2 linked regions of the Lytechinus pictus genome follow. The main gene of each other region encodes a partner of the protein of the gene in region 2 in a complex. Links are inferred from orthologs where the notes say so. Each region holds a gene or a part of one and is shown on either strand. Other genes may lie near its edges.

Region 1 (16,589 bases), on a different chromosome or scaffold from region 2:
ATGCATGAAGTTCTATTGAAACGAGTCCATGAATGCAATGAAGAGATTACACTACTTCCTCATGTGCATAGTCCATGGCTTCTCTTTTCTTACAATCTTTTTTTTTTTTCAAGAGCTACAAGCTTCCCTTTCCAATGATACATGTATCTCAATCAATATCAAGCTTTCAATTCAGATGGTGGTCTCTGCACTTTTTGGCATTTCTGTTGTGATTTGAAGTTTAACCCTAAAAGACCTGGGAGGGGGGGGGGGAGGATTTTGCCCCCCCTCTATATTTTTCACAATAAATCCGCCGCACGAAAGTTTTCAACCGTGCTGCTTGCTGACTTTTTACTTTCAAATCTCGCACAACTTTTGAGACCAAATTTGCAATGCCCAGTTACGCGGTTGCAAAATTACACAACATCATGTAAGTGCATGTCAGACCCAAAACTGCTCAAAAAAGTGAATTCATGTACAAATCTAATGCAAATTGTGTATTTAGCCACAATTCACAAACATATCATTATTTCTACTGTTACTGATTAAGCTTAATCAATTCTGTCTTGTTCATGATCAGAATTCAGTCTGCAACGATTTCCATCGAAACAACTGGAGCGCCTCTGGCAGTCTCACCTGCATCACGTGATTCAATATAGCAGCAGTGCTGACTTTGAAAACTACTATAAAATAATTATTCACAAAAAACACCATTCAGATAATGATACAATACTACGTTCATTGACAATAAATGACATTTGACCTTGATCATGCAACCTAAGACTTGTCAGTGATACTTGATTACCCCTATATCCACATTTTATAAACTAAATCTATAAACTTTGAAAGTTATGACAGCAATCTAATAATTACCTCCAAAATGGCCAAAGTTCAATGACCATAAATGACCTTTGACTTTGGTCATGTGACCTGAAACTCACATGAGATGTTCAATGATACTTGATTAGTCTATGTCCAAGTTTTATGAACAAGATCCATACACTTTCAGAGTTATGATGGTTATTCAACAAATACCCCCAGCATTGCCACAGTCCATTGACCTTTGACCTTGGTCATGTGACCTGAAACTCTCACAGGATGTTCAGCGATACTTGATTACTCTTATGTCCAAGTATTATGAACTAGACCAATACACTTACAGAGTTATGATGGTAATTCAACAAATACCCCCAACTTGGCCAAAGTTCATTGACCTTAAATGACCTTGGTCATGTGACCTGAAACTTGCACAGGATGTTTAGTGATACTTGATTACTCTTATGTCCAAGTTTCATGAATCAGATCCATAAACTTTCAAAGTTATGATGGTAATTCAACAGATACCCCCAACATGGCCGAAGTTCATTGACCTTTGACCTTGGTCATGTGACCTGAAATTTGCACAGGATGTTCAGTGATACTTGATTACTCTTATGTCAAAGTTGTATGAACTAGACCAATAAACATTCAAAGTTATGATGGTAATTCAACAAATACCCCCAACTTGGCCAAAGTTCATTGACCTTAAATGACCTTTGACCTTGGTCATGTGACCTGAAACTCGCACAGGATGTGTAGTGATACTTGATTACTCATATGTCCAAGTTTCATGAACTAGGACCATATACTTTCTAAGTTATGCTTTCATGTCAAAAACTTAACCTTCGGTTAAGATTTGGTGTTGACACCACCGCCGTCGGAAAAGTGGCGCCTATAGTCTCACTCTGCTTCGCAGGCGAGACAAAAAAAAACAATAAAAACAAAAAGTAGAAAAACACGGAAATACATAAGAAAAAATTCTGACACCAAATTCTTTTTTTAAGTACATTTGATCAGGATCCTACAAAGAGTCTGTGAATAAAAAGAAGGAATTTTGGGGCCGTATGATAGTTGATTAGAGCAAATGTTTTATTTCATGCATAAATTAGCATAATAAATTCATTAAATAAAAAATCTTATTATTTCCAAAAAAAATTAACCATACAGCCTTGTAGATTTTATCACACACTAGTGACACTGTGCAAATTTTTGTGGCACTCACGCAATCAAAGGCCGAGATCTCAGGGGGGGCAGAATCCACCCCCCCCCCCTCCCCCGGCTGTGAGAGGGTTCTAAATAACCCGGCTCTTTTAGGGTTAATGTTATTATTCTTTTTTTAGACAAAAAGAACTTGAATATACAAGTAATGGGATGAAGTAGCAATCTTCCATTCAAGTCTTTTGCTAGGTCTACCGAAAGCATTAGTGTCTGTTTTGTCGGTTGTTCTGCTGGACTTGCTTCATTACACCTCTTCCATAGACTGAAGTCATTCCTTCACTCTGTACAGGGAACCTATGCCCCCCAAATTAATTCATCTTTTAACCATCAATAAAACAATCTCATCAAAATTCAAAATAAGGGTCTATGAATGATATTAGTTTGAGAATTATCATAATCAACACAACTTTGGTGCAATTTGATAACATAAAAATCTTCCAAAATCCCCCCCCCCCCCGGCCCTTTTGTGGGGAATGATACATTCAGCCTATAGCGCATACTGTAGGTCCCTCACATTGTGTGGGAGATGGCTATTTCACATATTTATATATTATATTTTTATACATAAAGTGCATATTCATCGGGACATGCATATTCAGTGAAATAATGCAAAACTTTAAATGTCATAACTTTGTTATTCCTTGTCCGATTTTGTCTGATCTTATTATCTGCTCAAATGTTGTTTTCAGCCTGGAGTATCCCACTGCTCATGTCTTTTAATTTTGAGGACCCATACCATGTCTTGTGATATATGGTATTTGTATGAAATTCTGTTAGATGATCATGATACATAAATCAAAGGGTTTCGTTTACCATATCAAGGACATTTTGATATGAACATTTTTTGCATATTTCAAACATCTAAAACTTACCCTCTTCATCACTTAAAAAAAATTCTAACAAATCAATGAATGAAGAGGTGCACTGTCAAGACATGTGCATTTAGCTGTAAAATGAAACCAAAATCAAAGGCCAAGCCCATATACACCAAATTTATGCATACTAGCAAAGCAACGATCCTATCGATTTACATGTAATGTCCACCGCTTCTGACACCCATCAAGCACCGCCAATTTTTCCTCATTTTATTGAGGGCAATGACACAAATCTATGTGTAAATGAGTTTATACCATCAGAAACGATCAGGTAGATTTTATACATGCACTCAGCTTTCATATAAATATTACACCAATTACATGAAAATAAGTCTCCACTCGGCTGAAAAATCATCTCATAATATGTCCCGCTCCGATATTTCTGGGTATGTTATATGAATGAAGATTTTCATGTTTTTTTTTTAAATCAATTATTATTGATAATCAGTGAATTGAACTGCCATGTGAAGAGTGTCGTCCTTCTTATTATAAACATGTAGTCACATTAAGCTTTAAAATGAGACCAATATTAATTATCTAGCCCCTGGTATACCAAAGTATGCCAACAATAACACTTCATTTATTTGCTATTGAAATGTAAAAATTGTGTCTGAGGGACCACTGGACAGTACAAGTACATGTAATTAGGTGATACTGCTGAACCAAGCTCCAACACCAAGCTGGATTCAGAATTGTGATAGCGATCATGTTAATGATAGCTCATGACATCACCCTGTCCTGGGGTGTGAATCATCTCAACATAATTACGCAAAAAATCTTGACAATGAAAGTGAAATCTGGAAGGAAGTGTAGTGTAAGAACTCATTGTATGGAATGCAAAGGCTAAAATCACTGCAAGAATCAGAAAGAGTAAAAATTATGGTGATGATTTTTACCTGATTGATAAGCATGAATGCTTGTAAGCAAGCAACTAGAGGACCGATGGCTTGAGGTCATCTCAGAGGGACCTGGTAATGAGGATTAATGCCTTACCAAAGAGCACTAGTGCATTGGTGGGAATCGAACCCTGGTCACCGGAATCCGTAACCCCACTATACCGACTGAGCTACATGTATCATGCCTCTTCATTGTTCATTCATAGCGAAAAGCTTAAATGATCAGCACTTAGCTGTAAAAACTAATATTTTTACTGGGAGTTTTTCATCCTGTGCTGCCTGTTTATGATCTTCAGTTCACAGACGCCATGGTCCAATGGTCCCAGACCAGTAAAAATTGCTGTCGGGCCAGTAGTTTTTCAGAAATAGCCAGATTTACTGGTCCGACATGACCAGTAAAAAATACATTATACTGATACAAATGATATTTTCCCCTCTTTTGTAAATTATAAAATGGCTCTGGCATCTTAAAAAATGGCTCCCCAGAATTGAGAAATGGCTCTCATGAATTATGTTGTGGGGGGCAATAAAAGCAATTAAAGTCAGCAAAATAAACTCGAAGTCTATTTTTATATTTTTCTTTATTTTGGGGGACCAGTAAATTGTAGGTTCGGACCAGTAAAAAATTGAAGAATTGGGGATCTACTGGTCTGACATGAACAGGTTGGACCAGTAGAAAAAAAAGGTTTAATGTGGAGCCCTGCCAAACTTGTCTAGTCCATAGACGTATCCGCTAGACCACGAAGGGCAAGGCGAGTCTAGGGAGAGCGGTGTTACAAGGTATTTATTCAATGTATTGATGCTTGATTGTCGTAGATGGCATTATCATGATTAAGAAGTCAGTGTGGGATAATGCCAAATGTTTAATTCATTTTGTTTCTTTCTCCTTTTTTCTCGATAAGAAGAAATACTAAGCTTTCAAGTGGCTTTCTTTGTTCTTTTTCTCAATAAGAAAACAAATGCTATGCCAAGGCTCGACATTAGCGGTGGCCCGGTGGCCCGGGGCCACCAGAAATTCACCTCGGGCAACCATTAATTAAAAAATATTAAGTTTTGGTGGCCCGAATCGGGCAACCAATAATTTTCAGAATAGCGCAATTTTTCTCCACATTTTGCACGCATTTATCAACTTTCTACAGTTCAAATTGCAAGCCAGTTTGTCATGCGCCCTTTTTGTTGATCTACACACAAAGTTGGCCTGCCGCTACAGCATTAAGTAGCTTTTATCCAGCCGGCTGTGCCGGCCGGCTGGCGTGAGCTTTGCATGCTTGAAGCAGCTGTGCGTTAGCAGCCTATTCAGACTCAGGGAGCTGCAATACGAAATGTTGCTGCTAAGAAATCTTCCACAGAACTGTGAAAATCCAAGCCAAAGTCACATTTTACACCAATGAAATGCCCTTCTACAGACCTTTTTGCTAAAATCTGGTGTATCCTGATAATTTGCTAGCATTAAAAAGAGGAATCATGACCTCTCTTTTGACTCAAAAAGACCGATTTCCAAATGAAAATAATACACATAAAAACACATCTTTAGGTGAGTACATCACAGTCCCACATGTGCATTTGTATGTATGTTGTTACTTGGTTTCTTTCAAAGCTGTGTCTTTTCCGGTCTTTTCTAGCCAAAAATAAACAGACAGTTACTTTCTTTCTTGTTTATAAATGATTTCTTAAACAACTCTTGAGAAAGTAAATACTTTGAGAAGGCATTTCATTCATATGAAATGTGAATTTTTCCAACATTTTGGCAAATTTAGGGAAGGAATTTTCTCACACTTTTTTTTGCCGTTTTATTATTTTCTTTCATTTTTTTTGACAGTGGTTAAACCATTTATACCCACTTATTCATTTTTGATGTTTTTCTTTATATTTTTCGGGCCACCAAACTTTAATATCGGGCCACCAAAAAAAATTATTTGAAGGTTTTGGTGGCCCGAACGGGCCACCACCAAAAAAAGTTAATGTGGAGCCTTGGCTATGCCTTTGAACAGAAATTTGAGTGTAAAAGTGGGGGTCCCCTCCACGGCACATACCCACCAAGCATTATATACTGAGTGCCCCCCCCCCCCCCCGGGTTACCGCTAATTCCTTTCAAATGATGATCAAAACATAGGCATCCTCGATCCTTTCGTTGGTCATCATAAGCTGCCATCTTGGATGACGTTATCATCCTTACAGACGTATTTACCAGTCGCCATATATCGCGATACCTGCCCCTGCGTTGCGCTTGTCTATGTGCGTTCGTTCAGAACTTTTCGCTCGCATTTGATTGGCCAGGATATAGAAAATTCTAATCAGAAAGCCTTGATAAAAGCCTAACTCAACTAACGTAGAGGGCAGCAACATACAAATTTAAAATAAAGGAATAAATCATCGGTAACATATATTTTCGAATTTTATTAGAAAATTTGTTGTAACAAAAGAAAGATTATAGTCTAACAAAAATAAAGGCCATCGTTCAAGATAATATAATGTCATTTAGACCTTAAAAAAAAATTAAATCTAGACAAAACACGAAAGGCCCGAATTGGGAGAAATGATTACACACGAGGGCTCGCACTAACGTACTACTTTCGGTAAATGGGGATGAGAGTTAAGTGTCAGAAATCAAAGGTCTCCAAACATGTGATACTAACCAATTTTATGGCATTTTAACCTCCATTTGATACAATTATCTTACATGTACCTTTGTCTGCTTGATTTCTTTTCTAAAGCTTTGCAGAACGATCGTGACATGCAAATTAGGGTCACAATTTTTCACGACACTTTTTTTCAGCCGAGCGCGCACTAGTCTATCGTCATGGAATTTTGAGATCACGATACAAGCAAAACCCTTGACCTACTTTATAATTCTGTAAAGCGAATTTGACTTTGGGATCATGACGCTCGCGTCCGTAACGTTGGGGAAGTACAATAAGAAACAAGATGGCGGCGTAAACATCGGGCAAGTCTCTTCCGTCTTTTCACAATATTTTTTCATTTTTTTGATGAATTCTTGTTTTAAAAATAACAACGAGAGCGTAGAAATGTCGGAAATGAAGTTTTATCCCATGTACATGATTTAGAGCTAGATCTTTTAGAAGGAAAGTAGAAATCTCGGGGGTGAAAGTTTCAGGTTTTGGCTTCCATTGTGTGGGTCTATGGGATAGAAGGCCTGGCTTCATGAGAGTGACCTTACGTTAGTAAATGATTTTTACTCTCTAGAAGCCGCCTGGCTAGGCCTTGCCAGGTTTTAAACTAACCCAGAGAGCTCCCGCCCGCGCAGCGGGCGGGAGCCCAGAAGCTTACAGTGTATTTTACCATTGTCACCGGACTAGGGTGATTTATGGTCTAAATATTTCTCCAAATGAATTGTGAAAACGGAAAGTATACAATTACCACGATTATATGGATGAAGGTCTAACGAGTGGCAGATTCCTGACATCTGGGCACAGTCTGGAACCTCAAAAAAACGAAAAGTTCTCTCCTTTTACCCAGTCTCGATCGGCCATTTTGTTACGATTTTTAACAAAAATGGCCGATCGAGACGGGGTAGAAGGAGAGAACTTTTCGTTTTTTTGAGGTTCCAGACTGTGCCCAGATGTCAGGAATCTGCCACTCGTTAGACCTTCATCCATATAATCGTGGTAATTGTATACTTTCTGTTTTCACAATTCATTTGGAGAAATATTTAGACCATAAATCACCCTAGTCCGGTGAATATGGTCAAATACACGGTAAGCTTCTGGGCTCCCGCCCGCTGCGCGGGCGGGAGCTCTCTGGGTTAGTTTTAAACATGTTATTGTTAAACTTAGTTTTAGTTTTATTTTGTTGTAATAGTTCAAGTTGTATGAACTATGAAGCTGAAACTCTGTGTGTTCTGTTTCGGATCACTTTGTACAATACATATTTTCAATTTAAATTACATGATTAAGGCATCTATTTTATGGTATATTGGGATGTCAAAATTATTTGGATAACCGGAAGTCAATTGTAATGGACAGCGGCGCAGCACGGACAGGTAGCGAAGACCACCAGGCAAGCCAGGCCAGAACGCTCCCGTGGATGAACTGTGCCTCGACCATAAAGGCGTAAGTGAGATATTCGACATCCTTTTCCGCGTTCAATTTAGACACCTTTTAGGGCGTTACCAGTAAACTTGACAACAAGCCTCTGACTGCCAATGGTTACATATAAAGTGAAAATACGATAAATATCGATTCACAAAGTTATTTTTTACTAAAATAAATAATACATACCATCTTTTATCGCACTTCCTACACTACCAGGATCGGAAACGCCCGGTCATCAGCACGAAATGCCTCTCCTGATTTCAACTCAGAGGGAGCCAAACAAGAGTGATCAAACCCAAACAACGACGAAAATGTGGTGGGGAAGCAATCGAGAAGATGCGTAGAATGTGGGAGGAACGAATATAGTATAACCATAGAGATGTATACATCTCTATGACTGCAGGGCTCGACACTAGCGCCGGTCCGACGGTCCCAGACCGGTAAAAATCACTGTCGGACCGGTAGATTTTCAGAAATAGCAAGATTTACTGGTCCGACATGACCAGTAAAAAATATTGTCGGGCCAGTAATTTTTCCAAAAATAGCAAGATTTATGGGTCCGACATAAACAGTAATAAAAACTATTGTTGGGCCAGTAACTTTTTCAGAAATGGTCAAATTCGCTAGTCCAACATAAACATGAAAAATATTCCATGACTCAAATTGCGAACCCTTTTCCTCCCGTTGAATTCTGGCATTCACACACAGAACACACACAGAATGAATCGCATGCAATTTTGATAGGGTAACATACAGTGTACACGTGGCTAGCCAGCCACACAGCCCACATGGTAAATTTCCTACTGGCTGCACGGACGAAGCTTGCTTGGCTAACCTCTGGCAGAAATCTCTCACAGAACTGTCAAAATTCACATTTCACACTAATGAAAAGCTCTTATAATGTCCATATTTCCTAAAAAATTGCCAAAATTGGGGTAACTCTGTCATTTGTAAGCAGTAAAAGGAGAAATTTTCACTTCTGTTTTAGTTCAAAGAGATCGGGTTTCGAGTGATATCGTCTGAATACATGATAGCCCCACATATGCATTTGTGTGTGTGTTGATACACTTGGTTTCTTTTGTAGCTAGTACTAGTATATTTTAATTGAGCCAAAAAGAAACTGATAATTTATTTATGATGATAGTTTTAGCTTTCTTCCTTTGTTTTCTTTCAATCTTTCTTTCCTTCTTTCTTTTCAATCTTTCTTTGTTTCTTCCCTCTCTTCTTTTACTGTCTTTCTTTTTTAATTTTCCCTTTTTCTTTGTCTTTTGTTCTTTCATTCTTTCTGTCCTGTTAATATTTTTCTCTATTTCTAATGCTCTTTCTTTTTCTTTCTTTTTTGATTTCCTTCTTTCTTTAATTCTTGAGTCCATCCATCCTATATTTATCTCTTCTTTCTTTCTTAATTTCCTTCCTTCTTTTCCCCTTTCTTTCCTTCATTCTTTGTTACTTTCTATCTTTCCTCATTCCATCCATCCTTTCTTTACCCTTTCTTGTTTTTATTCCTTCTTTCAGCCCTTTCTCTCTTTCATTCCTTCCTTTCTTCTTTGTCTTTTGTTCTTTCTTTTTCCCCTTTGTTCCATCTATCCTTTTACCTTTTCTTTCTTCCTTTTATTTACTGCTTGCTTCCTTTCCTTTCTTTCTTTGAAGTTTGGTCTTTCTTTTTTGTTCTTCCTTTCATTTATTCTTTTACATTTTCTTTCTTTTTTTTATATTGCTTGCTTGCTTCCTTCCTTCTTTATTCCTTCCCAACATTCCTTTTTCCTTCTATCATTTTCCCTTTTCTTGATTTCTTCCTTCTTTCAATCCTTTATTTCTGTTTTCCTTCTTTCCATCTCTCCTTTTACCCTTTCTTTCTTTTTTTATTCCTTCTTTCCTTCTTTCTTTCATTACTTTGTCTTTTGTTCTTTCTTTCTATATTGATTGCTTCATTTCTTTCCTTCTTTCCTTCATTCTTTTTTTCTTTTGTTCTTTCTTTCCTTCCTTTCCTTCTTTGGTTTTTTTTCCTTCCTTCACATTTTTTCTTTACTTTTTTCTTCCTTCGTTTCTTTTATTCTTTCTTTTTTCCTTCTTTCCATCTCTCCTTTTACCCTTTCTTTCTTGTTTTATTGCTTCTTTCCTTTTTCTTTTTTCATTACTTTCTGTCTTTTGTTTTTTTCTTTCTTTATTGCTTGCATCATTTCTTTCCTTCTTTTTTTTTCTTTCTTTCTTTCTTTCTTTCTTTCTTTCTTTCCTTCCTTTTTTTCTTTCGTTCTTTCTTTCTTATTTTTGTTCTTTCTTTCCTTCCTTTCCTTCTTTCTTTCTTTAGTTCTTTCTTTTTTTCCTTCCTTCACATCTATCCTTTCTTTACCTTTGCTTTTTTCTTCCTTCCTTCCTTTCTTTTATTCTTTCTTCCTTTCTTTCTTTTTGTCTTTCATTCATTCATTCCTTCATTTTTTTTTGGGGGGGGGGGGTAACAAGAAAGGACAGCAAAATAAACTCACACCTTTTTTTAATGTTTTCTTTATTTTTTGGGACCAGTAGATTTTAGGTTCGGACCAGTAAAAAATTGAAAAACTGGGTATCTACTGGTCCGACATGAATAGGTTGGACCAGTAGAAAAAAAGGGTTAGTGTGGAGCCCTGCTATGAGTATAACCAAAATATAAAGCAATAAGTAAAAAAAAAATATATTCATATAACACGTGAGAGTTAAAGGGAGCTTGAATAAAAAGCTATCATGGCAGTCTTAATTCGATATTAATTATTTTACAAAGGGGGAGGGCCTCGTCATACCGGAAATAGGAACGCTCTAGAATTAAAAATTAAGTACATCGGGGGCCGGGGGTATATTTTGCCGTAGGAGAAGGAAACTATTAAAAATTACAACTTGATCTATTTGGGAGCAGATTCTATTCTTGTCTGCGGGGTAGGGTGAGGGCTGAAAATTTTTCATCCACGTTTACCCTTTTTGTTTGTTTGTCTCTCTGTACGTCTGTTTTTACAGTGTTTATTTTTTTACTATTTTTTTGGGGGGGTGGTCATCCTTAAGACTGGAACTAAAATCGATGTACATGCCTTTGTTTACGAACTACCCTAACTTGCCATAAGTAGGCATATATTTTGTCCCATTTACACTAGAATTAATCTTTGATTTTTTTTGTAGATAAAGTTACTTTGTTAGTTGTACGTCTTAAATGTTCTAAATAAGGCCGTATGATATTTCGATATTGTGAAAAAAAATGTTAATGATATAGGTACCTGATGAAGGGTCTCGAATGGCTTATGCACAGAGTCAATACATTATTCATCAAGTAGATTCTTTACAATTGACACAAACTGTGTAATGTGTAATTATTCATTGTGTATAATGTAATCGTCAAATCAAAGATTCGGGGATCGAGGACATATATCAAGCTTATTCACCTAAAAAATAAATGAAGGAAAATATAGAAGCTTGTTTCGAGCCAGAGGAAGGATGTAAAAATAGAGTTTCTAACTGTATACAAAGTACAGGCTTTGTTGCAAACATCGACCCCCTGGCGGCCTTTTCACACGACTGCCGGGGCGCGACGTTATACTCAACAGGCATCATTCAGCCCATCCGGCATTAAACAGGGGCCACAAACAATACAACATTTGATTAGATCTTTTGTTATTGTCTGTTGTATACAGTATCGGACACGTCCAAGCGAAGAGTGCGGGAGCGTTGGTCAACTCTCTGGACATACGAAAGGTCAAGATATAAGTGTATTGGTGAAGTGCTAAAGGAACTGATGCCGAAATCTGTAGGAGGTGACCGATGAATGTTCTGCTCGCTTTTTGTAAGTCGAAAATGCGTTGTAGGGTCAAGAGAATATCGTAATATGATTGTTGTGGTCGTCGGCATGGTCGAGTTGCATTTTTTGGTCATTTGCAATTACACGTGGAGCCGGGACGTGGAGTCACTCCTATACAGAACCTACAGAAGTCCTCTGGAGTAGTCCACAAGCGACTGCATCAGCTGGATCCACATCCTGACTTATGGATCCTGCTGAGTATTGTCGTAGAAGTAGAAGCCCTGGTCGAACTTGACCATATCTATTTACATGTATAAGGGTAGACGCCGGGTAGACGCTGTGCAACGCCAATTCAACTTCAACAGCAACTTTGTGATAAACGAAAATGATTCATGTTTAATTGTTTAAGGATTTTTCTTATATATTATTTGTTAATTTTGGGGGGCGTATTTGTTTTTATGTCACCGATATTATCAAAAAAAGTACAGAAGACCGATATCAGGAGTTAGATGAAACTCAAAGCATATCCATAAAGTCGGTCGTTATGTTAGTCTCTACTTGCCCAGGCCTTGAATCATGAAAGATTATCTTCAGGTTTTTATCTTCATGATTGATATTTTCAGTGGGGGGGGGGGGGGTGGCATATCTTTCATGGCCTACATATCCGGGCTATATACTGTATGCATGATGCAGATCTAGTGCGAAGCGCGATCGTGCTGAAAATGTTTGATACTGTCCTGAAAAGAGAATGTTTTAAGCACATGTTTGACTTGTATGAAAATGTGAATATATCTTACTTTGATGTGCAAGCGTAAGCTGATTTTTTTTATATCCAGATCTGAACATGCCGAAAAGGACATTTTAAGCACCCTTTTCCATTAGTGAGATCATGAACAGGATGCATTCGTATCTCAAAAAAAAAACTGCGAAGCGCGAGCGAAAATTTATTATTTCCTTTAGTGACCTTATTTATTTCTTCCAGTTTCCTATTGCCCCATGTCCTTATTTTATCCACTTAACTTCTTACACTTGTCTTTTTTTTCTTCTTTTTATCATCATTATTTTAATTCTCCCCTTCTTATCCCTTTTTCCATTTTCCCTTTGCGCGACGTCAATGGGAGGGTGCGGCCCCGGGGTGCGGCTATAATATACTCATTCGCCTGCCCCTAGATTTGCATATACGTTTATACTAATCGATAATTTTATGTATACTATAGATACATCATAATACATTGGTATTAGTATGATAGATCCAATCATCATCGCTGATGATTAAAATTTTTTTTTTCAGATGAATTTGAAGGGGGGGGGCTATATAGGTGTCGAATTTTAAAATTATACCGCAGTTTTCTGGCACAGGCATGTTTGTCTTTCAAATTATATTCACAAATGTCTATTGTTGATTGCAGGTGTGTCGCCGGCAGCATCATGCCCGAAGGTCCGAGCGTTAGACGGTGGGGTAACATCGCTCGTCAATTCCTCAAGAAACGCATCAAGGAAGTGAAAGGAGTCAGCAAAGTTATGGAACGCGAGAGATGGAGAGGTGCATTCATCAACGATGTTGTCGTTTACGGCAAGCAGTTGTTTTTTCAACTCCTCAAAGAGGGTTTTTCGAAAGGGGACACAAGTGACAAGGAATTGGACACACCCAGGAGGAATAAAACGCGGAAGGTGCATGATCATCGAGAAAAAGACCAAGATTACGGAGAAGACTCCATCTGGTATCGCTATCACTTCTTGATGTGGGGTAGCCTTCGCGCGAACGAATATAAAGAACCTTCAAAGCGTTCGAAGAGAGCAAAAAGGTTAGACTCACCGAAAGCTCCGAATCCTATGGTCGAGTTTCTATTTGAAGATACGACATTTCTCGTTTTCTACGGCGGCAGCATCCGTATTGTTGACGGACCATGCAAAGACGAAGGAACCGATGTTCTTTCCGAGACATTCGATGTCGAAAAGGCGACGGCAGCGCTACAGAAACCAATACCAGTATGCTATACCATCATGGACCAGACATACTTCGCAGGAGCTGGTAACATTGTCAAGAATGAAGTATTGTATGCATGTCGGAAGCATCCTCTTGAGCTAGGAAGTAATTTGACCCGAGATGAAGCAGTGCAACTCGCAACGGAAGTCTTGCGATTTACAAAGGACTGGTTAAAATGGGAGGAAGAGTTGACAGAGTACAAAAAATTTGGCTCCTGGTTAAAAATGTACTGGAAATTTAAATGTCCCGATGGTCATAAGACAATGAGAGGATTTTTGGAGATGAACTGAAGCGGATGACGACATGGTGTCCTGAATGTCAAAAACTGAGATATGAGAGTGATGTGTCAAAGAGCGAACTGGAAAACATCGGGAAATTCAGGAAGACTACGCATGTAAAACGAATAAAGGAAGTTGCGCCCAATGATGATGATGATGTGAAACCATCAAACAAACTAAAATCGAAAAAGCTCTCTGGTAAAAGAGGAGCGAGAAATAACAAATCAACAAACAACATCTTAGGAATAACACAGGAAGATGATGATGATTTTTATCAAGTGTTTCGCACATCGTGTACATCAAAATCAAGAAAGTCTAGGAAAGTGTCAATGACAAGAGAGAAAACCATATCAGGCACATCCAAAGCTGAAGAAATAGATGACATTTTACACAGCTTTTCACCAAACAAGCAATCGAGAAAGCGAAGACATTCGGAGATGGCCAACTCGGAACCGAATGAAAAAGACAAACATGCAGATGTCAAACATGAATGCCATCGTGGTCATGAGGGTGTTACAACAGGCACAAGAAAAAGTCTGAGATTGAGAGCCAAAGTTGAAAGTCAAGGAAACAAGAGTGAGAAATCGGTAAAGACAAAATAAAGTTTCCCCTTAGCACATTTAACAAAACAAGGAAAGTTAGATAATGGCAAATGAAGCGATCAAACAAGATGTACTAGGTGAATATCTGATTGGACCGCAAATATCATATAAACTAAATGTATACAATGATGACTTTGATATAAATGGATTGTTTTTGAAAAATATACAGGGAATGATTATTATCGTGGGTGGGAAAATAAAAAGGAGCGATGAGATGCTCAAATGATACGTGGCACATAATCATAATGGTGTCAGGGCAGGTTTTTCTCTCATAATTCGTTCTCTCTTCTATACTAATTCGTTTCATGACCTACAACTTGTAGCGATATCACGATTTTGAAAGCAGGAGTGGGGGGGGGGGCGAATGGAAGGCAAAGGTTCTAACGTGGATGGGGCGGGATGTTGCCCCCTTTACGGCTTTAATAAGATTCTTAAGAATTATGTACGGTGCATTAACAAGCGGTTGTGACTGAGGAGGAATTGCTACTTATAACTCGTTCCATCAACTAACTTTCAGAGAGTCACGAGTCTTAGAGACCGAATCATCTTAATGAAAAATGAAGAAATATAACCTTTGGATGGTGGGTATATACTAGCTGAAGACCCAGGAAATTATTTGTCTGAGCTTTTATGGATTTTGATATTGGTACGTGATGGATGATGTAAAGTAAATATCCCGGCACATTGTGCAAAATATCATTTTTCTCAATTTTAATATATTTTGGGGAGGGGGGGGGGGGCTGCATTGGAATCTGAGAATCAATTAATTCTGATCCTGATAATTAACAATCATGACATTTCATTCAATCGTTGGCTGTTTGGAAAAGTGTCTTTAATTATTGAACGAAATATATATTTCAGTTTGACCAGCAAAACGAATGCATTTACTTTTTGGTTTTTGGCATGATGTATTTTAACTCTTTGGTCGAATTACCATATATATATACATATATATATATATATATATATATATATATATATATATATGTAAAGTTATACATGTACAACAGCTTTGGCAACTCTTTTTATTTATATTGTAAAGAAATGGATGAAGAGAACAATGGTAGGCGTAGCTTAAATCAAGGTTCCCCAGAGCTATCTACCCTTTGGATAGCTCTGGGGAACCTTGATTTAAGCTACGCCTACCATTGTTCTCTTCATCCATTTCTTTACAATATATATATATATATATATATATATACAAATTATTAATGTAAAGTATTAATGCAGAATACTTAATGGTCGGACTATTCTGCCTGAAAATCAGAATTCTTTATTACTCTAATGACAACGATAATGTTTCATAAGCATTGTGATGAAAAAATATAATCCGGAGTTCCCGTTTTGTAAAGCTTTTTTAAAATTCTTGCCCGTATTCAGACTATTAAACAAAAATGTATAAAAAAGAACAACTATAAAGAACACAATTCATACAGTGTATCTTGTCTTACATTGCTTTTATCTAAACGTATTTTTTTACTCAGAGAAATGATCGTATTTGCATCAATACAATTGTAACTATATAGCAGTAATTCATAAACATGACTGTATATGATATGTTATGGAAGTCAATCAGATCTTTCTCCTCCTCTCTTTCTCTTTGTTTGTAATTTCGATATTTATTTTCTTTCTGAAAACAGAGAAAAAAAATATGTGAAGGTATACTACTTCAGAAGTTCAGACCCAAAAATAAATCAATTAAAATATATGACATTGTATCAAAAGGTTATACACTTCTTTTGAAATTCTGATTAAACGTGTTCAAAGACAATTTTAAAGAAATGATTAGTGTAGAGGCTACTTTAATTACACACGATTGTTACTTTGGTGTTGTATGAAGAGAAATCAAATCTTATTTTTTAGAAGAATAATCTACATGCAATGAATTTTCAAAAAAAAAATTGGGGTGTTATATATATTTCAAAGTTTTGCATGAAAACCGGTTTGCTAAAAAGTAGCAGAAAACGGTAAGTACATACCCGAATTTGTACATTTTGACGGGCAGAAATGTTCCCTATTTATAGTACTTTTAGTTCTTTACTTCTTAAGGTTTCTTTTTTGGAATTATTTTTACTATCACTTCGGAGTTCTCTCCAGCCTTATACACCGCTTATACAGATATATTT
Region 2 (17,343 bases):
GCCACTTCCTAAAGCTTGCATTGCTGCATATCATTGTTAGAGTGATTTCTTGTATAATTATGCTGTTGCTCACACTTTGTGATTCCAGCTCTCTTTTCAATTTGCATGTTGACTGGTCTCGTTAACATAACGTGCGCGTGTTAGGATCTAAGCATATAATTACTCTAAGTCACTCTTTTCTCTTTGTGAAACACCAAAGGAGGTATCAGTTTTGCAAAATTTCAGTAAAGTAACGCATCTTTTTCTCTCTATTTCCTGTGTGTGCTGTAGAATGGGAGGAGTTTGTTGAAGAAGAAAGTAGCCACTGGGAGAGGATGATGCGCAACTGTTTGAAGGACTCCCTGCGGACGATGGTTGTGTTCTATGAAAACCTTCAAGCCAACTTAGAAATGGAACTGGCACATATTCATCGCTTCCTACGGGTGCCCATAGACATTGAAAGGTTAAAATGCGTGAAGGGCCACTCAGAGGGGAAGTTCCATCGGGGTTCAGATCAAGAGTTTAACCCTTATACAGAAGAAATGGTTACCAAAATCAATAGAAGGATTGAAAATGCTGCAATTATTCTCAAGGACAATGCCGATGTTAAATTTCCAGGGGATTACAGGAAGTTACCTGGCTCATAGCACAGGTTTTTAGATGAGGTAATTTTGAATTAAAGCCTAACATTGCTCATGTAGGTGTAGGTACAAAATGCTTTATCACAAAGATGAATTTTCTTTGACCAAGCCAAAGTTATTTTATACAGTAAGTTATGGGGAACATGAGAGAATCATGTCGCAACCCAACCAAAACCAAAAGCTACAGCATTTTAGAAGCGCCAGTAAGCAGGTCATTTAATTTTATGTTACTATTTTCAATGGCCTCTACCAATTTGCAACTCAGATAATCAGTACTTGTGTGAAAATGTTACAGCAGTGAATAGGTTCAACAGAGATACCAGATTTCTGAAAATCCAGCCCAGGCAATGTATACTCAAATCATACTTTTTGTTTGTGCTCTATACCCCATTAACATTTGGTCTGTGATCATCATAAGGTGCCCACAGGGGGATCGTATTCTGCTAAGCCTAACAATTTTCGTACAGTGGAATCAGGAATAAAATAGCGTACTTAACCATGGAAACAGGCATCAATTTGGCGCATTTTGACAAAAGCGCGCATCAGCATTGGACATAAGCGTAATTTATACAGGAAATCTGCATAAACCATGGGTTCAACCAATGGTTTCCAAAACCACCTTTGTGAATTTGGGCCTCAATGTTTTAGTATGCTACAATTTGATTTATTCTAGGTCAGGGCTTCCTGCAGCACCTCTTGTTTTTACCTCATGGTCCATATTGCTCAAATTATAAATCTTTCAAGGCCCATCTTAATTCTTTTTATAGGCCCATTTCAAATAGTAATAATGACCACAACTTAAAGAAATGGTAAGCTTTGTTGCCCAAAAAAAATAGAAGAAATCATGTGGTAAGTACTTGAAGTACAATTTTAGAGTAACCCAGCAATTGTCACATGATCACAGAAAATGCTTACATAGTTTAGGTAGTAAAAAACTGTGAAATAGTGAAACGCAACTAAAGATTGAATGAGAAATGCTGGAAAATCACTCTAATGATTCAGCACATGTTAACCTGATATATCATACATATACCTTAGAGAAAAGGTCTGTGGCTTGCTTTTTTTGCCAATTTCCAAGTACCTGGTAGTTACTCTTTTCTACTATTATATGCACATATATTTCTGGAGATGTAATGACAAGGTGGTCACGTTTTTATTCTATTGGAATCACTTTCTTAAGCCCAGCACACACACCATTCGATGCGATTGCACCAAGATTTGATTTCGCCAACCTATAACACGCTTCAACCGTGACCCGCTTTGTTGCAGTAGGATCGCTGACCAAATCTTAGACATTTGATGTGTCAAATCTTTCTGCGATTTTGCTAATTTAAGCCAATCAGATTTGTCCTAGACGATGACGCTATTGCAAATTTGCTGCGCTTCTGCTGCGCAGACAACATACGCAGAAAGGAAGAGGTGCCATGAGATGCAGTGCCATGCAGAGCTGTTGCAATGTGTGTGCTGGCCTGCAATGTAATTGCACTGAGACTTGATGTGATCGGATCTCCATGCAATGCAACTGCTCCTCATAGAGTGAACTGGGCTTTATTGTTACCACAATCGGAGCTCATTTTTATATGCAAATGTAACCTCAAATTAGCAAGCTATGTCCTTGCAATTTAATGAATGCCTGGTGCCCTGATGAATTTTATCAAATGCCATCTTACTATTATGCTATCTTGTTCTCTGTCATTGGTTTTAAAGGAACTAAGTACAATGAAATTGCGCTTTACGTCCAATGTTATATCCGTAGGGAGAAATTTTGGAGGTGACTTCCCTATTAGAAGCTGTTGAATAAATTTTGTTGAATAATGTGTACATCATTGTATAATTTGAGCTCTGCATTGTCAAATATTTTACTCAAACTAGCCATCAACAGAATATAAAGGTCATATTAATTTCTTATGGTGATGCATAATCTTGTCATACTATGGGCATTTATGGTGGAAAATGGGGTTTTAATTGTGAAAGCATGTAAAGATATTAAATCACCTGCAGTATATAGAGATACCAAGTGATCATTTTTCCATTATTATTTTTCAAGGTGATCTTTTTAAGTCTTTAAATGGACATGTAGGGGGGAAATGTATGACATAAATTATTATTTTCAGAAAAGAAAAAAAAAATCTTTTTTTTTTTTAAATTTAACATGAAAAAAATATTTTAATGGGATGTGGATTGAATATAGGTTTGCATGTAATATCTCAAATTCCAGTATTATCAGCATTGTATGTGCAGCAGTTTTATAGTACTACTATTTTAATCTTTGTGTGTACTTTGATATGATCTGGTGGGTGTTTCATAAAGCTGTTCGTAAGTTAAGAGCAACTTGAAGAACGACTGGTGATCCTTGTAAAATTCATTGGCGATGGTTAAGCACGTAAGAAAGGTTCACCAGTCGTTCTTAAAGTCACTCTTAACTTACGAACAGCTTTATGAAACGGCCCCCTGGCTTTTCTTTGGCATGTATGAGTCTTGAGTTTTGCAACTAATTTATTTGATTCATATGTTTCTTGTTGCTTTCATTTACATTCTCTACATTATCTTTAAATTAATTTACAAATTAATTCCCAACTACTTTAAGCACACTCAAAATGTGAAATGAAAAATAGCCTTCTGATATATGTATCTCTGCACAGTGTGAAGTTATTTTTTTGTATGTTCGGTTAAGTTTGTTCTTTATGCAATTTGAAATTATTATCAATTAGAATGCTTTTGTGGTGATGGTGTAATATTTTTTATGTAAACTTGTGATAGCATGTAAAGAATGAATGCCATGCAATACCCTTATCATATTCTATTTTTTTTTCTTTATCTCTTTTCATATTCTATCTCTTTGATATATGTCATTTAGCCTTAAAGTGCAGGCTTATCCTCAATTTTATTATCTCACAGTTTTCCTTTAAATGTGTGCACATTTATCATAATTCTTAAAGTGTGAATATTAAAGATGGCAGATCTTGGGAGAGGGGTTAAGGGAGAAGCAAAATCCTGTCATCCACCCAAATAAATTGGGATTTTACGCGCTGATATTGCAACATTACACATTCGTACAAGTATATTCAACATTGGTAATAATTAGTTTTCTCCCCTACCTCAAATTAGAGAAGCTAATAAAAGGCAATAGTTCTTGGATAACATCTATATAATAATTATAAGTATCAATTCTGCAATATGGAAATCTTGAATTAAAGAAAATAACATGGAAACAATTGTCATTATTATCCCCCAAAAATTAATTCAGCGTTCAAAGAGTTCATATTTTTACTTTAAAATAATGATTTCTCTGTTATCTATCAGCATTCTTTATCGTGTGCTATGGAGGTATGGAAGAGGGTAGGACATCAGATTCTGGATCAAATTGTTTTTTAATTTAGACTGATTTTAAAGTTGAGCCTTTACTGACTGAGCACCTGTTTAGTATTAAATGTAGGCTTTTAGTGAATGTGCCCATGGTCATCAGATTTAATCTTGCTTGTTCATGTTCACGCTCCACTACCGGCATGCGCATTCACATTCTCCACTTGCCCGGGAGGAATTTTGAAGGCATATTTGAAGCGCCTTTAGGGCTACAGATTCTAGTGACTGTTAATATGTACCAATTTTCATCAATACACCCACCTCTTTGAGGGAAAAGAAATAGTATTGTCGGTTGTTTTTTACTCATTGTAACAGTGGAATCATTTGAAATTGATATTTATATGCAGAATAGCTAATATATTTTTTATTCCACATTATTGATCAATGTTTATCAAATAAATTGGAGGTGAAACAGATTTATAATATAGTTACAAAATGTTCATATGTTAAGAGGGAAAGTCAAATCAATTTTTTAGGGGAAAACATGAAATGCCGGACATACATGTAAGCCTGGGCATACATAGTTTTGTATGTGTATTTTGAATGAAACACAAAAATTGTATAAATGTCAAACGTTTTGATAAATTGTAACTGACATAACTGATTTCATCAGGCAAAAACTTGACTAAAAGGCTGATTAAATGTGCTCTGAGCAATTTTAGACTTGATCAAGTTTGTTGTATACAACTAAGTTAATGTGTAGTTAAGTTTGAATTCAATACTATGTCAAGTATGTACTTCCACTTAATTCATATTAGTCAAAATAAGCATTCATAGTTTCAAATTAATTTTCCAGTATTAATTAATCTTGGTTATTGGGCTTAGTCTTGTCATCTAATATTTTCACATTAGTAATTATTTAAGTTGACTTATGATTATTTGCACAACTCTCTAATCAGAAAATCAATATGTATTTCTCAATTTTTATTTACACAACTGTAACTTTTGCTAATCATTTTGCATGTTTTTAAAAACATTTTTATGTGTAGGTATATGTATTTATAAATCATCAGTATTATTAAATTTATTATTCCTTGAAAAGTGGATAAACCTTTTGGACTAAATTATTGGACCTACATGAAATTTGGTCCTATTTGCATTAGTCTTTATATCAACAATCGCTACATGTACCAGTTGCTCGAACCCCCCCCCCCCCAACTTTAAATGAAGTTTTTCTGTGGAAGTTTGGACAAGTAACCAATATTTTATTTTGTAATTTGCAATGAGTCTTCAGGCTGATCATAGAGTTTATAAGGTGATGTTCTTTTTAATATTCACCAGTGCAACCGAAACCAAGGATTTCACTGAAATATTCAGAGCAAACATTAGTGCTGGTAATTTTCATGAAATTTCCCAAACTTTAAGAGAAAGTTGACCCTAAAGTTAAGTTTATTCAAATAAATCAAATGTGAATATTGCATTGAAATCAGAAAAAAAAAATGATCGTGTTATTTATGGTTTTCATTATTTTAGTGAAACAGAGTAGTCGAAAAAGCACTTTTTTGTATTTTTTATCAGATTTTAAAGGGAAAGTTCACTTGAATGAATTCAGAAAAAAAATAGAGAAAAGGGTTTATTTTCAATTAGTCCGACCAATGCCAATTTGTCCAATTACCAACTTGTCTACTATCATTTGGTCTATCATCAGTTTGTCAACTTTTCACATGGTCTAATTGCCATATCATCCACTCACCATTTCGTCTGATAACCAGTTCATCAAATAGCCATTTAGTCCATATACATGTACCATTTGGTCTAATTGGACTAAGTGTTTATTGGGCAAAATGAATGAAAATAAAATATTAGACCAAATGGTCATAGATGAACTGGTGATTAGAAGAAGTGATGATTGGACCAAATGGTTATTGAACCAAATAGTTGCTAGACGAAATGTTGGACGGAATGGCATTAGACTAAATGAAGGTAGATCATGTGGTGAGTGGACGAGTCGGCAGTAGATGAATTGGCAATTGACCGAAAAAATACTGGTCAATGTTTAATGAAAATTTGTCAAAGAATAACAGAGATGTGAATTTTTTTAAATTTTGATTTTGTGACATCAAAGACTAGCAGCATCTCTATATTTGATATATATTCACAAAACTTGCATTTTCTCAAAGATACATAAGTGATTCTATTTGTACAGTGGGTATATCATCAGACACATATACCACCTTCTATAAGAAAAAACATGAATTTATATTATGTAATATTTTTAGCAGGTGTTTGTGTTTTTAATTTGAAACATAAAATCACAGTAATCAATCCATGTATGGGGGAGCTTCTTGCTTGCATCGTCACATTAAAAACATTAAAAATTAATGTTTGGGTTAATTTTCTCTAATTTTTCTGCTTTTATTAAGACCATCTTATCAGGGTAAACTTCCCCTTTAAATTCATAATTTTCTCTTCTTTAACGTGTTTAAAGAATCTCTCCCTTGTTTCAGAATATGCAAACTAAAGGATTGCATGACCAGGTTTTTTGTTCTTTGGCCAAAATCCTAACATATTGTTTGCTATTTAATGAAATAAAATGCAATAAAGTGTGTGTGACACCACTCCACTCAGCTTTGCATTGCCTTATTCACCGTTTTGGGCACCATGCGAAGTTTGACATGCTCATATTTTCTTATTTCATTCAATTTTGAATAGTTTGAATAATATTGGAAACATGGGGTGTGATTTGTCTATCACTTTGATGCATAAGTGGATTGATCACAATTTGAATTATGCCACAGCACCCACACATTGTGAATATTTATATCATGTAACCACTGAAAATTTGCTATATCAGGTATTAAAGTCCTATATATATACTTTAATTAATTCAAAGGAATTTTTTGAATTATATGTTTCAGAATCTCATTTCATTTTGTACTTCTGGTATTTCTGAAGACATACATGTAATATATACATGTTAAATCATTTACCTCCATTGTTCAATTAAAGGAATTATTTTTAGAACTATCTGTTTTGGATTTTTCATTTTGAACTTCAAACATTTCTAAAGACTTACATGTAAATTGAAGGAATAATTTTGGAAGTACAGTATCTGTTTAAAAAATCTTATTTCATTTCTAACTTCTAATATTTCTAAAGACATGATTAAAGTTATTTAAATCCATGTGGTCTGCCTCTCCTTTTTCTCTTTTTGATAATAGGTTATATTGGAGTTTACTATAGGCCTACATGTCTGATATCATGTGGTTTGTTCAGTCACAGAAAAGGAAATACTCCGCCTCTATAAACTAAAGCCTTACTGCCCCCCACGCCTATATAAACCATCGCGATTTGTAGTTCTTGTATGTAAGAAGTGGACTTTATTTTTTTTTCTTTGAAATCATGCATGGAAAATGGGGGAGAAATAAGTATATTGAATAATGTGAATTATTAAGGGACAAAACGTAATAAAAAATGAAATTGACTTCTGTTTACATTTGTTTGTTTTATTTTATTCCTCTGATGATCCAGCTGGCACAAATAACTTTGAAGTTATATGTTTACTTAAAATGTTAATTTATAGCAAAGCAGTTTAAACAAGTTGCAATGTAATTTTGTTTTCCCCGAAAGGGGGGATAACGCCGGGGATCTGGCTTGAAAATACAATGTGAGACATTTCAGGAAATATGTGTTCTTCACTGCTATTTCAACTTATTCATCTTTCCATAATAATCATTTCATATGATTGTGGTCGTTTTTTGTGGGCATCATCGCGGAGGGAAAAAATGGTTTAAAAAATATATATAGGCCTATATGAGCATGGTGAGTTCCGTCGTGTTATCGCCTTCTTCCTTAACGTATTCATTTAGAATTCCATCGCAAACCTAATTTCTTCACAAAAAATGGGCTATGCTTAAAAGGTACTCACTCAGCCTCAAGCGTAATATTCTGCCAAAAATCATTGCTATATACAGAACCCTGGCTACTCCCCCTCCCCCCCCCCAAAAAAAACCTTGCAACTCGTTCCATCTACTCAAGTTATAACTCGTTCCCTCTACCTAATAACGCGTTCGTTTGTAATTTCTTTCCAATTATTCTTCTCCCTTTCCCCCATTCATTTTCTTAATTTCTTCTCTTATACTCATGACTTCCTCTTATCTTTCTCTTCCCCTTGGCGCCGCCAATATGGGGGCACCCACCCCCCCCCCCCCCCATTGATCCGCATTTGCAAACATGATAATGAGTAGACCCAACAAGAAGGCTTCTTTTTTCTAAACAGTGGTATGGTTTTTTAGTTAAAACTGTATTGGCCGTCTTGAAATGAATTGCCACGACACCGGACTCTGTGAAAATCAATGGAAATCCCCGAGTTTTAACATAATTATTTGAGGGTCAGCATGTTATTATTCTGTCTACCATCGAGACGCAAAGACTCTTCTTGTGTACGTACCGTTCAGCAAATTTTTGAACTGGTGATCGGGGTGACGACAGATATGGTGAGAAGGGGAATACACTTAATATTGAACGTCTAGAAAAAAATATGATAAAAAAATAACTTAAACAATTATACGAAAACAAAACAAAGGAGCACATTGAGAAAAGAGACCTATCTTTACACACTCCCCCTATCATTCAGCAAGATACGATGACAATTTTCAAAAAGTGGTATAGATATTATAACATCTGCTTATACTTTTACAGAATTAGCTCCTGAGAACATTCCTTTATAGGCCTACTTTTACAGTGAAACCACTCATTTCATTTCATTTTCATTTAGGTTTTATTTCCACAAATCCGTTATGTTACAAAACTTAACTGACATAACTAAGCTGAGCAACCATTACAGACGTAGACTATATAAGTATAGATAGCAAGCATTCTTAATCACTACATATCAATACATGTTTAAGTACATAAAAAAACGGAAAAGTGGAGGAAACCTTGGAAGCAGAATGCTTGTAGATAAGGTTCCCTTTTTTATACAGTACATTTGACATTACTACTTAGTAATAATACACGTGACAACATTTTATCAATTAAATTACACCCACAAAAACAACACAACACAGAAACGTGACAAAAAACAAAGAAAGAAAGAAACGAAGAAATAAAAAAACAAAAGAAATAAAGTAAGCAGCTGCCATCCAACAGAATTTAAGAAACTTCTGGATAATAAGCTCTGTGGACAAAAATGCAATAGAGCATGCCAATAAATAGCAATTTCAGTTTGTTTCATTATATCGAAGAAGAAGCTTTGCTTTCAAGTGATGTTTGAAAATATTATAATTTTGTAGTTGCTTAAGTGTCATATCCAAGGAATTCCAATAAACTGGACCAGTATATACTATCGTTCTTTTCCTAAGTACTGTTCTCAACCTATGCAAGTGAAAGAATGACGACTGTCGGGTAGGGTAAGTATGCAAATGTTGATTCTTTTGGAATAGTGATGTAAAAGCATGAGGAAGATCATTTGAGTTCAATTGAAACATGAAACACCCTAAAAATAAATTATATAAATCATGCACCTTTAATACTTTATTGTTGAAAAATAAAATGTTTGTGTGACTTAACCTGTCAGAATGGCAAATTATTCGCAATACCCGTTTTTGAAGAATTAACAATTTATCCAGTTGGTAATTAAACGAATTACCCCATGCAAGTATACCGTAGTTCAGTGGTGCACTCAGTGGTGCACAGGAGGGGCGGGGCTTATGGAAAAAGAGTGCAAGGAGAAGGAGTGAAATGTAATATATTTTTCTATTATCTCAAAATTTGTCACAAAAAAAAGAGTCCCCGTTTTTTTTTATATAGAATGTCAAAAAATTTGCTCCTCGCTTTGGAGTGTTCCAAATTTTTTCAGTTTTATCAAGGAATTTGTGGTCGCTATTTTATAATAGACAGATGGTCCTTCTAGATCTATACAGGTAGTAAAAAGTTGCTAGGCTTATAGTAGACAGCTGGCAGCCGTCTGTTTCTTTCTACCTCCATGGTTTCGAGGAGTTTTTAACATTTTAAATTTCTCCTCTGTATTTGGTGAGTGGAGCCAACGGAGTTCAGCGAAACAACCAACATAACAGAGACCGAAGCATTTGGTCTAGTAATCTTTTCCAGTATTGTCAAAGAGGTACATGCGGGAAGGAGGGGGGGGGTGTGTAAAGTACATGAAAAAGGGGCCCAAATACACCATGTGCAGCTGTGTTTTGGAGCGAGAGAGCACACGCCCACTCTCTCTGATACGCAATATGCGCTACGATATGCCGCCGCGCGCGCCGATGAGGAGTATGTACCGCGGAAGTGTCACACACGGAAGTGAGAAACGACGGCTCAATTGTTGTCCACGAAAAAGACGGAGATTTCATTTTATTTGCCGTGAAGAATCCATATTTTGAAAACCAAAATGCCGGTGAGTGTTCTTACAATTGATATTATACCCCTGTCTTAGCTTGGTGCTCATACATTTAATATTTAACCTCAAATTAACGTCAATATTTGGGTTGAAACTTACATACAGTCGCACTCGTAAGGTTTTGTGTTGTGATCTTCTCAAGGCAAGGGAAACCAGTCTATTCGAATTCAGCCATGCTTAGGGCGTTAGGCTTGGTTTCAGGACTTGAAAGTTGAAACTGGGACTCGGACTGGGTGGAGTCAAGCTAATGAGACAAAGGAGTAAGGCAATTAGGGACTGGGCAAGGCGGGGCTCAAGACCAGGCTTAAAATTGTGTAGAAAAGGGAGCTGAGACTGCATCGACTGAGTCTGAGGATGAGAAAAGTAATTAAATTTAATTCAAAATGAACCAAAGCTCAGTCAAAGCCAAGCAGTCATGGCAGTAAACATTAATGACTGGTAGATTTTAGATCTAAAGCTACATGTTTGTGGAGGAGAAGAATGAAGCCTTGAAGTAGGCGAAGGAAGCGAAGCCAAGCAAGGTCAAGGAGAAAGGGAGGAATTGATTTTAAAAAAAAGATAGGTCTAGATCTGACTAGAGAAGGGGAAAGAACAGCATGATGAAGAAAGTTAGATAGAACTTGGAAGGCAAAGAGAAGAGAATGAAGGAGAAGAAGAAAGAAAATAGAATGAGATACAGAAAGAAACAAAATGATAAATTATTGAGAAATATAGATGGAAATATTAGATGTTTCAGCAAGGAATTTACAAATATATACAACCTGTACCGGTACTACATGTAAGTAAAAACTAACATTTTCTTATTCATGTCGGTTAATTCATGTATTTTTGTTTATTTTTCTGTTTTACATGATGATGTTTTTGCTGGTCTTGATTTCTACTTGTAATTTCAAGTGTTGATGAACAGTTTGGTTACTCCCTGAAATTGGCTTCCCAGAACCAATGCTATGAAATCAATGTCCAAATTGCTTTGTCATATCCAGGCCTATCACTCACAGTTGAGTACCAATATGAAGATTGGAAACCTGGCCCTTCTACCTCTCAATACCAAGTACAGAGGACCAGCACCACCTGGCAGTAAGTTGACCCATGTTTACTAAATTCTCAAATCCATAAGCATTATAGGCCTACAACAGTAATCAAGTTCTAAAAGACAGGAGGCTAGAAAGAGACTACCTTACTCTGGCATAATCATCCATTAGGGGAGATTCACTAATGTCATGGCTTAAATGGGTTTCAAGTGTGATAGAATCATTTCTATTCTATATTTTATATTTGTCTAATTCTTCTGAAATTTATTGTATCTATTAGTAAATCACACAGGGCCAGTATTCTGTGAATTATGATCTCTCTAATATCTTACTTCTTTAGCTCTAATTGTATTTCATTCTGATTCTTTTGACATTAACCCTTAAATAGATCGAAAGAAAATGTCTAAATCATAACGATGAAAGTGTAACTTTATATCATTGCTCAAGCACTTAAAAAACTACAGGAGTAGTCCGCACTCTAATTCTTATCATTTTAATTAATTATAAAAGGGTAAATTTCACTTCAAAATGAGAAACATTTTAATTGGTTAATAGCCATCCTTGGTTACAGCATATATATGAACTTGACCTTTTTTGTTATAGGGTTGGGTGAGACTTATATTTTGAAGTAGTTATGTAGGTACTTGTATCTTGTTATATGATTTGTGAATCAATATCATTCCTCTTTTTCTTTTTTTTTGTAAATTGCTGCTGATGAATGTTTCTTTAGAATTAGATATTACGATCTTCATTATTTTTTTTCTATCTTTCATTCCCTCTAAGCTGGAGAGAATGACATCGTTGATGAAGCCCTTTTCTATTTCAAGGCAAACGTTTTCTTCAAAAATTATGAAATAAAGGTAGGTTTGATTGATGAAATCTATCCGTCTACTGGTCATTCATTGAATATGTTGAATATGTATGCATTGAATGGATGGATGGATGGATGGACATTTGAAAGAACAAAAGTATGTATGAACTAGAACTGCAATCGTATCAGAATGATGTGCATGCATTGACGCCTGTGATTTAAAGGAGAATGAAACTCTTGGAGCAAGTTAGCTTTTGTGAAAGCAGAAAAATCAAAGAATAAGATCAACAAAACTTTGAGTAAAATAGGACTAGCAATAAAAGAGTTATGAGCATTTGAATGTCGAGATCACTAATGCTATGGAGATCCTCCCATTGGCAATGCGACCAAGATCTGTGATGTCACACACGTACAACTCTCCCATTTGGACACTGAAAATATACCCCAAAACATCTCTTTTTGCTCATTCTAATCATATGACAAACGATTCATCAATGATATAATGTTGTGAAACCTCTGTACTTGTCATCTCATAAAGAGAACACCTCACCTTGTGATAGACTCTATAAAAGTGAGAATATAAGTGAAATAAGTACTAAAGTAATGAGGGAGTTGTACGTGTGTGATATCACAGATCTTGGTCGCATTGCCGTTGGGAGGATCTACATGGCACTAGTGATCTCAATATTCGAATGCTCATAACTTTCTTATTATTAATTCAATCTTCCTCAAACTTTCAACAATATGTTTCTTTGATTTTTCTCTTTGATATGGATTCAGCTGGTTTCAAGGGTTTCATTCTCCTTTAATAGAGGGCAAGGAACAGAAGAGAGAAAACTGTAGATGATATCCATTTTCAAAATATTAGAGGGCTCTATTTCTTAAAGGAATAGTCACTGATGCGTAAAACACAGTTGGATTATGTCAAATGATACAATTGGCAAACCCTGAAAATATGAGATCAAAATAAATTAAAACAAGGAAGTTATGGCAATTTTACTATTTTCCGACTTTGCAATAGAGGACGCTATTTATTAAGGTAATGGTCACTGATGCGTAAAAAACGTTTGAATTATCAGGGATGGTACCCTTAGCAAACTCTGAATATGAGACCATAATGATTGAAAACTAGGAAGTTATGGCCATTATACTATTTTCGACTTTTCAATACAGGGCGCTATTTCTTAAAGGTAATGGTCACTGATGCGTAAAAAACATGTGGATTATGAGGAATGATACAATAAGCATACCCTGAAAAAATGAGACAGAAATGAATGAAAACAAGGAACTTATGGCCATTTTGATATTTCTTTAGTTTGCAATAGAGGGCGCTATTTCTAAATGTAATGGTCACTGATGCGTAAAAAGAATATGGATCATGAAGGATGATATCATAGGCCAACCCTAAAAATTTAAGACCGAAATGAATAACAACAAAGTTATTGTCATTTTACTATTTGTTGACTTTGCAATAGAGGGTACTATTTGTAAATTTAATGGTCACTGATGCGTAAAAAAATTTGTTGAATTGTGAAGGATGATACCATTAGTGAACCATGAAAATATGAGACGGAAATTAATAAAAACAAGCAAGTTATGGCCATTTTACGATTTTCCTAATTTGCATTTCAATAAATATGAAAATTTTGAACGTAGACTATCTTGGATTTGAATTAAGGGCAAGAAGACGGCATTTTGAAGGGCAAGTTGTATATTTATATGAAAGAGCAACTCTTAAACAATCTACTGCAATTTGTTAGAAGTCTGTAGCATGCAGGATTCGGGAGTTAGGACGGGATTAGGAATGGTATGCAAATGGACTTGAAATTTACAAAATGGCGCCTGGATAGTCATGCATGAGTGATTTTGGAAAATGGAAGACGAGGTGCACAACTAGGGATGCTGGACAACATGTCTACCAAGTTTGGATGAATTTGGATGAGGGACGGAGCCAGGGCAGAGCTAACAAAAACCATGTGTTAAACAAATGGGATTTTGTGGAAGAAGAAGAAGATGACGGAATAGGAATACGGAACAACAACAGAGCATTGTCGCCTGTAGGCGTCAGTGCAATGAATGAATAAATGAATAAATAAATGAATGAAAGAGTGAATTATTGAAAGAATGAATGAATGAGTGAGTGAATTAATGAATAGTTTGTTGATTGATCGAAGATAGATCATTGATTTATTGGATTATTGATTGATTAATTGATAGGTTTTATTTGATTATTTATTGATTTAGTGAGTGTTGAATTAGATAATTTACGAAAAGAGATGATAAATTAATGAATTAATCATTTTAACTAATCATATTTTTATTAGAATAAGACAAACAAAGAACCATGTTAATATTGTTCTAGTAATTCTTAGGCTCATCTTTTGTTCTTAAGATAATGTGGTTTGATCAAATTATATTTTGACAGGGTGATTCTGATAGGGTACTCATCTACCTCACATTGTACATCACAGAGTGCCTAAAGAAATTACAAAGGGTAAGTTAAAAGTCTTCCCCAATGGTACTATCTGTACAAATGATGTTGACATATATATCTGTGTACTTCTATTTCTGGTGAGGTCCTTTGACAAAATATTACCCACTTTATCATTTCAGAGTTGGGGACCACACTCAGCATCTTTTCTGTTCTAATTTAGTTGGATTTCTCCATGAAAAAAAATGGGGGTGGTGGTGGGGGGGGGGGGGGGGTGATTGGGAAAGTGGCTGTAAAATATGCCATTTTTATTGTCCTAGACCTGCTTCAAATTACCAGTTAGCCTATCACATAGGTACTTGCAGTATGGAACTAGTCGCTGGAAACAAAGTGTGTGTGTGTGTTTTTTTTATGAAACTGGTCATTCAGCCTAAGTACATGTCAATCTTCTTCAGCCAAAATTAACCATTACGAAGAAGTTTGACTTGAAGAGGTAAAGTTCGCAAATTGTGATTAGGAAAATGTGGTCTGAAAGATTGCTTGACTTGCCAGATGATTGTTTATCTTCTAGAAAGTCCACTGTCACAGACTATTTAAAGGATACCAACACATACATATTCAAATGAATGATGATGATAATGGCTAATGTTATCAATTACATGTACCTGTTATTCTACCACATAAAAATCCGAGGCAATTCACAGACATCGCATGTAAAGGTCTCAGCATGCATGCTGATTCTAGCTTTTTAAAAGTACAGTTGATTGTATTTGATAAAACGACTCACTGTGCTTCTCATTTTGTTGATTTACCTCACCAGTGTTCCTCTACAACTGATGCTCAAAAAGAGATGGCCTCTCTAGCTATTGCAAAGTTCAGCATTCCAGGAGAAGCAGGCTTCCCCCTCAACGCCATGTATCAAAAACCAACCAACAGGGGAGAAGAAGGTAGGAAGAATAAAGGCCGTACAACAGTCTTTTTGATCAGGTGTTGTTTCTCAAAGCCAACTGTGAAATTTTGCAAAGTAATGAACCACTGAGACATGTCAAGCAGAATCAGGTTTCCAAACGTTCAGGATATTGAACTTATAGATGTTGATTTTACTGTAATCTTGTCTTGATTTAAAAAAAAATTAATTTCCATAATTTTCCTTTGTGTATCCAGACCAAATGAGGGCCTACGTACAGCAGCTGAGACAGGAAACCGGCCTGCGCCTGGTGGAGAAGGTGATGGATCCACAAACCAACAAACCAAGCAAATTCTGGATGTGCTTTGTCAAGAGAAAATTCATGGATCGCAGCCTCTCTGGCCCTGGGCAATGAAGAATTAATAATTTTTGTAATTATATAGGGCAGTTCCATTATACTCAGTCCCATGTATTACCTATCATGTCATTGCTTTCAGTTAGATATAGCAGTATCCTGCTGTAAGCCATACATGTGTATGTAAAAGCCTGAGGTGGATGTCACATCAGTTAAACAAGGATGCTACTTCTCTGACAAAAGGAGCAATTTATACATTTTCCAAATTTTTTGTACAAAAGGGTGTATTGCTCTATTTTAGATTAATTTTGTTTTTTTCAATGTTAAGTAGCATCTCTATTTAAAGTGATCTTCTTTTGCTCAGGTCCATGAGCCATGACTTGGCCGATCGCATACATATAGAACTGGCAGTTCTAATACACACTAACAATTCTTGGTAATACATAGGGCATATATGTAACTTCTTACGTGCCCAAATGAGAGACATGATGCATAGTGCACACACATACACATGAGATTGAGTCCATAATAGAAAGAGGATGTATTATAACTTTTTAAAATGAAATTTTATCAATCTCCAAAAGACACTCGATACGCTTCTGTTACATCAGAGATATATCTTTGTTTTATAAATTTTGCACATTCATCTACAGAAAAAACATGTTAGTAGGTGAATTTTCCCCATACTAGCTCTCGGATTTCGTCTAAAGAAAAGGTAGATGTGTGACCAATGTTTAGATTTCCAGTTTTTATCACCGGTATCCAAAGTGGATCAAGTGCCTTCTGGAAAATAATGCTCTAAAAGTTGATAAATTTTAAACATTACGTGATCGTTATTTAGTAATTTCCAGTAGTAATCATAGGTAATCGAATATTGATTTTAGTGAGAATAATCATGATTACCGCCGGTATTGAGGATAATTTAGGCCTTTGGAGGGGCCTACATAAATGGAAATACCTGAAAATATATTGCTCACAAAAGCCAAAGCATCTCACATGATATATGTATGATTTCCATTTACTTCACTTGAAATTTATAAAGCAGTCAGTCAGTAATCTTTGCAAGAGGTATATGATAAAACCTAAAATATTAAATATTATGAAGGTAGGAATATGTGCACTGCACAATGATGCATATTCATTATTCCTGGTTTTCTCATTAATCAGGAAAAAGGCTATTTTTTATTATGCACAACAACCCATGTAGTACAGAAACATTCTCCCTTTTCAATTTTCTTACTTGACTTACTTGAAGTACCCTATTAGCATTCCAACAACCCCAAATATTTATGTATTTTGAAAACATGAGTTTTATTTGGAATGTTTGATTAGGCAGACTTTCTATTACATTTTTTTTCTTTATTAGACTGATGAAAAATTATTTATGATTTTTGTGTACACCCATGGCATTTATAAATAAAAATAATGCAAGGAGAAATATGTTGGCATCAAATGCATTTCTTGTCAGTGTTACCAATT

The links.
Region 1: actin-related protein 2/3 complex subunit 3-like (region 2) and actin-related protein 2/3 complex subunit 4 share a complex: the UniProt entries of both Caenorhabditis elegans proteins name them as parts of the arp2/3 complex. The link is inferred for Lytechinus pictus from reciprocal best matches to the Caenorhabditis elegans genes arx-5 and arx-6.

What each region holds. Positions count from the first base shown.
Region 1 is NC_087247.1:40,223,147-40,239,735, forward strand, and holds the start of actin-related protein 2/3 complex subunit 4, read right to left. Parts: upstream 8,886-16,589; 5' UTR 8,029-8,885; coding exon 8,026-8,028; intron 1-8,025. UniProt on the Caenorhabditis elegans protein: Functions as actin-binding component of the Arp2/3 complex which is involved in regulation of actin polymerization and together with an activating nucleation-promoting factor (NPF) mediates the formation of branched actin networks.
Region 2 is NC_087246.1:16,003,850-16,021,192, reverse strand, and holds the start of actin-related protein 2/3 complex subunit 3-like, read left to right. Parts: upstream 1-11,276; coding exon 11,277-11,406; intron 11,407-12,143; coding exon 12,144-12,220; intron 12,221-14,596; coding exon 14,597-14,665; intron 14,666-15,422; coding exon 15,423-15,549; intron 15,550-15,766; coding exon 15,767-15,924; 3' UTR 15,925-17,343. Other genes in the region: sialate:O-sulfotransferase 1-like, read left to right, coding at 271-626. UniProt on the Caenorhabditis elegans protein: Functions as a component of the Arp2/3 complex which is involved in regulation of actin polymerization and together with an activating nucleation-promoting factor (NPF) mediates the formation of branched actin networks.